Linked DNA regions of Caenorhabditis elegans. The protein of the gene in region 1 purifies or fractionates together with the protein of each later gene. This does not show direct contact. Each region holds a gene or a part of one and is shown in the gene's direction. Other genes may lie near its edges.

What was found.
Region 2: the proteins of nhr-177 (region 1) and ttll-4 fractionate together in Caenorhabditis elegans (co-fractionation; one large-scale study listed by BioGRID). This does not show direct contact.

The regions. Positions count from the first base shown.
Region 1 is NC_003283.11:1,608,509-1,613,509, forward strand, and holds nhr-177 (NR LBD domain-containing protein), read left to right. Parts: upstream 1-1,754; 5' UTR 1,755-1,851; coding exon 1,852-2,027; intron 2,028-2,079; coding exon 2,080-2,216; intron 2,217-2,265; coding exon 2,266-2,330; intron 2,331-3,016; coding exon 3,017-3,442; intron 3,443-3,498; coding exon 3,499-3,593; intron 3,594-3,635; coding exon 3,636-3,751; intron 3,752-3,917; coding exon 3,918-4,168; 3' UTR 4,169-4,250; downstream 4,251-5,001. Other genes in the region: srbc-41 (Serpentine Receptor, class BC (Class B-like)), read right to left, coding at 4,295-4,564, 4,622-4,927.
Region 2 is NC_003281.10:10,122,384-10,127,203, forward strand, and holds the start of ttll-4 (Tubulin polyglutamylase ttll-4), read left to right. Parts: upstream 1-1,799; coding exon 1,800-1,902; intron 1,903-4,820. Other genes in the region: ham-3 (SWI/SNF chromatin-remodeling accessory subunit 1), read left to right, coding at 269-338. UniProt on the Caenorhabditis elegans protein: Monoglutamylase which modifies tubulin, adding a single glutamate on the gamma-carboxyl group of specific glutamate residues of target proteins. Involved in the side-chain initiation step of the polyglutamylation reaction but not in the elongation step.

The DNA.
Region 1 (5,001 bases):
CTTTTTTCTAAATTAAAAAATCATTGCGGTAGCAGACTGCGGAGTACATATATTTATTGGTTTCCGATTTTTGAAACTTGTTGAAAATCCTCAACATTGCAATGACGGGAAGAGTAAGATTGCAATTCAAGATATTTGAACCTTGTGAACCCTTATTCAAAAATCTTTCCCTTTTATGTATTGGACAAGTTTGAAGGTTAAAGTATTCTTGTCAATTTGATCTCTTCAAACTATGACTCTAATAAAAATTTCCAATAAAAATACAGCTTCTCAAACGTGTTATCATTTTAAATTGAGTTATTATTAATTCGAAAAACGTAGTCAGACACAATATTACAAAAAATTAAGCCACTTCTTTATGGCCAAAAGGCAAATGAGTTTGTTCAAAAGTTCTAAAAATCAAAAAAAATTATAGAAAAAAAAAGAATTTTGAAACTAGGAAAAGCCAAACTGGATGGAGAGAAAGAGCAAAATAGTGTTTCTTTGATCTTTCAAACTCATTTAATCCAGACATTCTAATATCCGATTAATTTCAAAATAAGCTATGTACAGCTCTACATACGGAGGAGGGAAAATGGATTGAGCAAATATGATACATTAAACTAGAAAATATTATCCAGGAGTTAAAAAGAAACAGCTAATTACATCTAATTATTGAATTGAATTGAATTTATTACGATTGAAATCGTGATAATAAACATAATAAACATACGATAATAAACATACAGAAAAATAATAAACATACAGAAAATGAATTATCATCTGAATAGTTGATTAGTTGGTACATGAATGTGCGGGTGTCAGGGAGATGAATAATGGGTAACATGAAAGTAGTTTGAAAGTAGTTTTATATGATTCATAGTCAGATAAATTGATTTTTCGATTTTTCAAACTTTCTTTCTGATAATTTAATCGATTTTCATCGATTTTTCAAACTTTCTTTCAGTTAACTTAATTTATTTTTTTCTGTTTTTTCGATTCGTTTTGCAACTTTATGCTGTTTCGTTTCATGTTTTAATTTATTGACTTTAACCCTTTTTTATTGCATATGAAGGCAATTGCCGTTCGGGTAATTTTTTTGCCGGAATTTTCAATTTTGACAATTTGCCGGTTTGCCGAACATCAATTTGTTGGAAGTTTTTAGAAGGATTTTTATAAGACGGAAACACTTAAAACTGTGCTTTTTTGAAATTTTTCCAGTTTTATCTAGACATTTTTACAGAATTTGCTTATTTTTAAAATAGATGTATGACATTCATAGGATGCATACAATTTTGCCGATTAAAATTGAAATTTTCAAATTCTCAAAAAAAAAAGTGCAAAACCACAATTTGCCGAAAATTCACTGCAATTGCCGTTTTCCGGCAATATAGGCAAATCGTTTTGCCGCAAAATTGTAATTCCGACAACTTTCCGATTTGCCGATTTGCCGAAATTTTATATTCCGGCAATTTACCGAGTTGTCGATTTGCCGGAAGTTTCAATTCCGGCAATTTGCCGATTTGCTGGAAAATGTCACTTGCCACCTCCGTGCATTTTTTTTAAATACATACATGGATTATTTGATAATTTCCCTGCACCTTTCTTTAATCTTTTTCAAGATTTTGGTAAAATGAAAACTTTCAAAATTCATATTGTTGATCTTGGGCGACAATTGCAAACGTACACTTGAACTATTTAATACGAACCTTACATTGTATGTCATTCCGCCACAGCATTTGTCTGCATGTCTCTCTATTTCTCCTTTTTTGTGTATTCACTCCAACGACGCTGGCAGTAACTACCTCTTATCTGATTTTTCGTCATCATTGGCTTCTTTCTCTCTTTTCATTACCTTTTCTTGTCAAAAACATGAAAAATTTGATTAATATATGTCCGCGTCCATCAACATCAAATCATTTTTCAAATATTTCCTTGTCATCATCAGAGCCGCCTCCTCCAAGGAAGGACTGCCGAATTTGCTTTGAAAAAGGCCACGGCTACCATTTTGGAGTGTTCTCTTGCAGAGCTTGTGCTGCTTTTTTCCGGTTTGAAATTAAAATACTATATTGATATTAAAAAAATAAATTTATATTTTAGACGTTGCCACTTCCTAAAAGAAAACCGTCGTAGATGTCGGCTATCCAAAGGAAAATGTGGACCGAATAAAAATGGAAAATGGTTTTGTAAAACTTGCCGATTGGAAAGGTGCTTTCGATTGGGGATGACTCCTTCAAGTGGGCTGACTGAAATTTCCGGAAAAAATATACTAAAAAAATATTTCAGATATCCAATATGACAGAGACGCCTATAAATCATCGGTGAAAAAAATAAAAGACAGTGCTGAAAACGTAAGTTTTTGGTTGAAACCTTGAACTGTTCGAACCACTGAATTTTAGTACTAAATTTCGAATTTCCAGAAATTTTTAGTGACAAAGTGTGAGTTTCCCGCTAGAATTTGCTTGAAAAATTTTGAATTTCCAGCAACTGTTTTTGAAAAAAAAATTTGAGTTCCCGCTAATTTTTTTTGAAAAATGTTGAACTTCCTGAAATTTTTTTTGCAACAAAATTTGAGTTTCTTGCTAGAACTTGAATATCCAGGAAGTGTTTTTAAAATAAAATTTGAGTTTCCAGCTAAATTTTCTTTGAAAACTTTTGAATTTCCAGCAAATTTCAGGAAATGAAATTTGTGTTTCCCGCTAGAATTTGAATTTCCAACAATAAATAATAGAAACGGAATTTGAGTTTTTCACTAGAAAAATGAAAAAAAAATTGGAGTTTCCTGCTAAAATTTGTTTGAAAAATTGTGAATTTCCAGGATAATTTTTTTTTAATAAAATTTGAATTTCCCGCTAGAATTTGACTGAGACAAGCAGATTTTTCAACAATTTTTAAGAACAAAACTGGAGTTTCCCGCTAAAATTTGTTTGAGAAAATTAGAACTTCCAGCAAAATTTTTTATGAAAAAATTTGTCTTTTCCGTTACTAAACACAGTATCAAAGTAATTTTTCTTTTCCAAAATCTAATAATTTCTAGATCACCGAGCCAAAACGTGATGCCACCTCACTCATATTAATCAATAAAACCTCTCAAGTCCTTCCATATGTGGATCTATCACAACTGGTTAATAAGGCAACTCGCATGCTTTTAAATCCAATTTTCACCAAAAAAACTAAAAAAATGAGCAACTTGGAGCAACTGACTCATGGGCTCATCGAGCTTCAGTGGTCACAAAAAGACAATTTAGCAGAGGTTGTACATCTATCTGTGAGTGATGTCACACAAGATATGGAAAGATCCATGTTTGGAGCTGCAAAATGGATGATGTGTTCCGAACGAATCAGGAACTATCAAGACTCGTTAAAAATTAGAATACTGCAAGCAATCTGGTACACTTGGGGACGTCTCGAACGGATTGCCACTACGGCAAAATTGAGATTAGAGAAAAAATGCGAAGAAAAGGTAGTTACTGAATTTTAAATGCTTTCTGTTTATATGTATCCAGGTTTTTATTTTAGCATTTTGTGTTCTCCCCAATGTTTGCACTGAATTTGGATGAAATGTCTTTTGATGCTAGCTGCTGGACAACTCTCCCGTTTGAAGAAATGCAATAGTAAGTTGGATATTTTTATATGAATATCATTTAAATTTTTAGTTTCTATGTTCCTAGAGAGCTGTTCTACGAAGATGCCGTATTGGAAATGATGGAAGTGAAGCCAAATGACGTGGAGACGACATTTATCATTTGCAGTATTTGCTTTCACTTGACTGGTGAATTTTTTAAAAGTTCAAAAAAATTAGTTTAAAGTTAAGCGCGTAGCAAATTCATTTTCCGGTGTTTGGATATCATTTCTTAACAGAAATTATGTTGTAACTTGTGGCTTTTAAAAGCCCAAACGAAATGACGAATGACTGTTGAAATTTTTTTTATTTTCAGGCAAACGATTCGGTGGCGAAATCCAAGAAAAGATGGACCACTTACAAGACGTTTTATCAAACGACCTTCACGAGTATTACCTGAAAAACAAAAACTCCATGTACCTTCGGAGGCTAAAACAGTTAATGAGAATCAAAGAGAATTTTCTGAAGCTGAGAAGTGCTCGAATGGATAAATATGAAATTGGCGGATTTTTCAACTCATTCAACCCACGAATTTCAAACCCGGAGTTTTTTGAGGTGTTATCTTAACTGTATTTTCGATGTGAAGTTGTAGTACTATTATTGTGTGCAACATTTTTTATACAAGGAAAACATCAGTCAAATATGTTTTGAACCTACATCATAGTAGATTTACTTTCAGACTTATGTTAAATTTCAAGGTTTCGAAATAGTGGCAATATGAGGTATAGGCTGAGTAGATCTTTTAGATCGTCGACTATCCTCAATTTTTGATTGTCTTCTAACTAAAATTTCAATGACAATAATTGATTCAATTGCTCTTCCGACTTGCTTCAGCATTGCAGTAACTGGTCCTGTAGTCGTGTAGGCTATCAACGGAGAATTGGGAAACTCGTGAGCCACAAACGATGGAACAAAGTCGAAGAAGAAAATCAAAAAAGCGTCGAGAAGAGCTAGTCGATTGGCCTGAAATGTTTCCAAACTTGTTGAATTGATATCATTATTTTAATTCTAAGACCTTACTCTTTTCGTAACTCCAGAGTTTTGCAGAGTTTTTGAAAAAAGCATTAGCTTAATGCAAAGAATTATTGTGAAGAATATGATCACAGGAAATATAACAGACTTATAAGTGGTCCACCAATTATATGCACAAGTATTCAAGGTGCATGGGAACGTTGTACAACTGTCTGGGATATGTTTTAAATTTTTTCCACAAATTATGAAAATAACAAAGTCCTCGACAATGAGAAATATAAATGGAGGAATGTAGAATAGTAGGTTTGAAATTCGAGGTCGAGCCACGTGATATTTAATAGGTAGGTAAGTTGCCTGTAATGGTTAAAGGGGGAGTAGAGTTGGTGGGTATTTTGCTTAAATAGACTAAAACTGGTCCAAAAACAACG
Region 2 (4,820 bases), on another chromosome or scaffold:
CCTAAAAATGTTTAAAATTGCCGAAAATTTCCTCGTTTTTGCGGAATTTTCAGCGATTTGTCAACATTTGTTTATAGTTTTAAAATAAATAAAAAATTTTTTAAAGAACCGAGGAAAAATTCCAAAACGATGAATTGCAGTTACAGTACTCCTTAAGGCTGCACAATTTTTCTAAATTTCTCCGTATTTTTGGCGAAAAAAATATCAAAAAAATTCACAAATGACTAATAATTTATCATTTTTATATCCAAAATTCTGTATTTTCCAGGTACATGTATCAGAAAATCCAACAAAAACGAGCCGAGCTGGAGCAAAGTCTCGGAATCCGCAACAATTAATAAATTATATCTCTTTCCGTATAATATCGATTTTTTCTCTCTTCCTTCTCCCTCTGCCGACCTGTAAACTGGGATCTCAACAACATTTTCAAAAATTCTCTTTTTATCGAATCTAATTACGTTTTATCTCAATTCTTCACTAATTATATAATTATTTTTCTCTCCACTCCAAACCAAATTTTAATTGATAAATTATATGCATTTTAAGCTTATGCTCGAAAATTTAAACAGTGGTTTATTTATCCAATTTATTTATTATTTTCTTTTTTACCACATGTGTGTAATATGTAAATTATAGGAAAAAACGCGCCTTTTGAAATCGAAGCACAAGTGCGCTCCATGGGCACGCGGGCTCCGCCTCAAAACGTTAGGTCTCGTTAGGTTTTTGGTGAAAAAATCGTACATTCAAACGTTTTCAATTAATTTTCCGGTTTTTTGTTTTTTTTTTTTGCTGTTTTCGGTTATTTTCAATGATTTTTACGTCGAGATCATGTTTAAAATTTTTAAAAAATCAATTTCGGCTTAAAAATGATTTGAAAAAAACAACGGAATACATTACAAAAAAACCTGCCTTTTATTTTTTTCGTCTTTTTTGCAATGTATTCCGTTGTTTTTTTCAAATCATTTTTAAGCCGAAATTGATTTTTTAAAAATTTTAAACTTTTACCTTGTATATACCTAACCAACTTTTTGGAGGCGGAGTGTGTTAATTGAGGCCCCACGAAAAGGGGAGCAGAACGAAAAGGGGATCTCCAAAAAGGGGATCTGCGAAAAGGGGAGATACGAAAAGGGGAGCTAACGAAAAGGGGATCTGGCACTGTGCCAAACGCTATTTTTCTCGAAGAAAACGATACAACGATGCTCCGATGTTACGCGTCGCGTGCTGTTAAGCGTATCCTCTAGAAGAAAATTTCAAAAATCAACGTGCGTTGCGTGAGAAAAATTGCGTTTTGTGCGTTTGGCACAGTGCCAGCTCCCCTTTTCGTTGCTCCCCTTTTCGTATCTCCATTTTTCGTATCTCCCCTTTTCGCAGATCCCCTTTTTGCAGATCCCCTTTTCGTTCTGCTCCCCTTTTCGTGGGGCCTCTGTTAATTTGACCGTGGAGCGCACTTGCCTCGATTTGTAGATTTACGTGCTCGTGTACTCTGCGTGGACAATCCTGATTTTTTTCGCTATTTTTCTTGCATTTAACATTTAAAAAAGTCACTTTTAAAAACTTTTAAAATGCCGGAAGCCATTCGAGATTTGAGATATGTAACATGTAAAATAAAACAACTAGAAAAAGAGCACTCGGAAAAAATTCCGGCTCTCCCGTTTTCTCTATCTCAGTCTCCTGCTTTATTACACACACACAGACATACTTTATCTCGGTCAACACAGACAGACACATCCTTATTCCTTTTTCCAATATTTATACATATATTTTCTCACATAATTTTTAATAAAAGAAATATATTTCAGATGAGTAGCGGGTATTCCTCTGCACCGAGTGTGTCTCATACATCAAGTGACACAGATTTGAATCGAATCGACAGCTATGATGATGGAGCTGAAGAGACAACAGGTAATTACCGGAAGTTTTTTGACAAAATTTTTTAGCTTTTTTTGTTTTGTCTTTATGGCAAATCCTTCACTTTCCGTGGCGAGAAACAGAAAAATTGATCTGAAAATTTGTAAAAATTGCATTTTTTCAGTACTCTCGAGACTTTTTAAATTTTGAATTGCTGAGCTTTTTTTTCATTAAAATTTTACCCAGATGCAAAATTTTGTCTCGAAGCGACATTTTTTGTTAATGTAAATAGGTGTGCGCCTTTAAAGAGTACTGTAATTTCAAACTTTCCGCGCTACGGAGTTTTTAATCAATTTTTCATAGTTTTTCTTTTGAAACATATAAGTTTTAGAAAATGTGAGTAAAAATTTTTAAAATAGAATTGGAAATTACAGTACTCTTTAAAGGCGCACACCTTTTTGCAACTAACAACTATTTGTCGTGTCGAGACCGGTTACCATATTTGGCGCCAAATTTCGTGTCTGGATTATTATCCAGACACGAAACGAGACACGAGGAAGCTTTTTATGAAATTTTTATTATTTTTTTGAGAAAAAATCGGGAATTTTTTAAGTTGGGTGAAAACAAATTTCAGATTGAAAAGAAAATCCAATATTTTTTTTTCGAAAAAATTGGCATCTTTATGGAAGTTTCTTCTGAAAAGTTTTTAGATTTTTAAAACAAAATTTTTTTAAGATTGAAAAGTAATTGGAAATATGCAAAAATCCACTTTTTGAGCAATTTTGCGGGGCTCAATGGTAGTGAAAAAATGCGACGAAAAAAACATTTTCAAATCGAATTTTTTAAAAACTTCTTTTTAAAAAAGTCACAATTCTAGTTTTTGATTCGACGTTCCGATTACTAAATGATCATAGATGGTTGTTTATTTTTGTATTCGACATCTTCTTTTTCTCACCGTCATTTTATTAGAAATCACAAGTTGTTTTTCATTTTCTCAAACCTTTTCGCCCAAAAAAATCTCTAATCTTAAATTAAATATCTCTTTTAAAAATAATAAACTTTAGGTTTTCCGTTGAGAAATCTACGAAAAACTAGTCCCTTGAGTTTTTGTTTTATCCGCTTGTCGATCTTCCTCTAACCTAAAAATTCAACTATTTCCACAAGCGCTTCTCTTTTTTTTTTGAAATTTTTTCTGTTGAAGAGAGCATAAGTAGTACTTCATCTCAAAAGATAAAGCTTCAAAAGCATGAAGTCGTAGACATTGTTTTATGATGCTCAAGAATTTTGTTGAAGCGAAAGAAAATCTGTGAAAAAGCTTCTAGCGTTAATGAGAATTTATATTTACTAAAATCTTTGAAATTTTTATAAAAATTTTAGTTTTAATGCCAAAAAATACCAAAAAGAACAGATTACAGTTTGAAAAATAGAAATTATATTTCTATAGAAAAGGAGAATTTTTAAATTATTTACTTGAGAAAATTTGAAAAAAAATTCCAAACAAACATGACCAAAAAAAATTTTTCCTGGATTTTTTGTACTTTTTGAGAAAAAAAAACATTTTTGTAGAATAATTATAGGTAGATTTCAAGCTAAAAACATAGAAATATCTTTCTTTTTTTTTTGAAATAAAAACAGTTAACAATTTTTTTTAAAGTTTCACTATGAAATTTGACCATTTCCCCACTGATAAAAAATTAAATTTACTGACAGGAATTTTATTTTTAAAAAAGTTGCAGAAATAATAAATTTTCTTAAAACTGTAGAAATTATTTTTTTGTAAATATAAAAATTGCTGAAATAATTTCAGAATTGCAGAAATTATATTTTTTTAAAATATATAAAAATTGTAGAAACTATGTTCAAATTGAAAAAATTATATATTCTTTTAATACAAAAGGTGCAATTTTTTTTTTGACGGACTCCTAAAGTTACCATAAAGAAGCCGTATTTGGCGCCCTATTTTGGAGGAAATTCGAAAAAAATCACTTTTTCAAGGTATTTTTGTTACAGTTGCGTTGCAAAAATAGTAGAAATGACAAATAAAAAACCAGCAAAAAAACAAAAGTCAAAAAAAAGAAGATGCTCAAGAGAGCCCTAACTTCGTTGCCAGACACCGCATAAAACACATTTACTTCCCCGCCGTTACCACCATAACAATCACGACACTTTTTCGTTCACTTCTCACTCTGTTCTTCTTCTTCTTCTTCTCGCTCGTCGTCGCTTTACACCTATAACGTTCAAATAAACAAAAAAATAATTGTGTAGTGATGTATCTCTTTTTGTCTCCGTTGACACCACCATCACTACCACCCTTTGAGGAGAGAGCATGAAGATTACTGCTGCTGGGGGGGGGCTTAGTGAGAAATAGGAGATGATATAGTGATTAGAGATACATACGTTTTAAACTATGAGTGAGTGATGGCAGAAAACTAGGGAAAAAACTACCAAGAAAACAAAACAAAGAACTCTCGGATACTAATCTTTAGTTTTATTTTTTTTTGTCTTGCTTTACGAGAAAGAAAAAGCAAAATGACAGCTTTTTTACTCACAGAAAAACGTTGTTGAGCTCACTTTTTTTTTGGCTTTTTTTAAATGAAAAATCCTACAGAAAATGTAGCCATTCTGAATTTATTTTTAAGAGAATCAGAAAAATGTGCTTATCACGTTTTACGATTATGGCAACAATTTAAGGAGTTTTAGTACTTTTCTCTCTAAAAAAACGTTTTTACTGGAAATTTTTTTTCTGATAATTTTGCCAAATTTGCAGGAAATTTTTCCCCACATTAAAAAATTGTTCAAACTTTATATCAGGGGTGGGCGGCAAACGATTTTTCCGGCAAATCGGCAAGTTACCGGAATTGAATATTTCCGGCAAATCGGCAAACCGCCAAATAGCCTGAATTGAACATTTCCGGCAAATAGGCAATTTTCCGGAACTGAAAATTTCCGACAAATTGGCAAACCGGCAATGT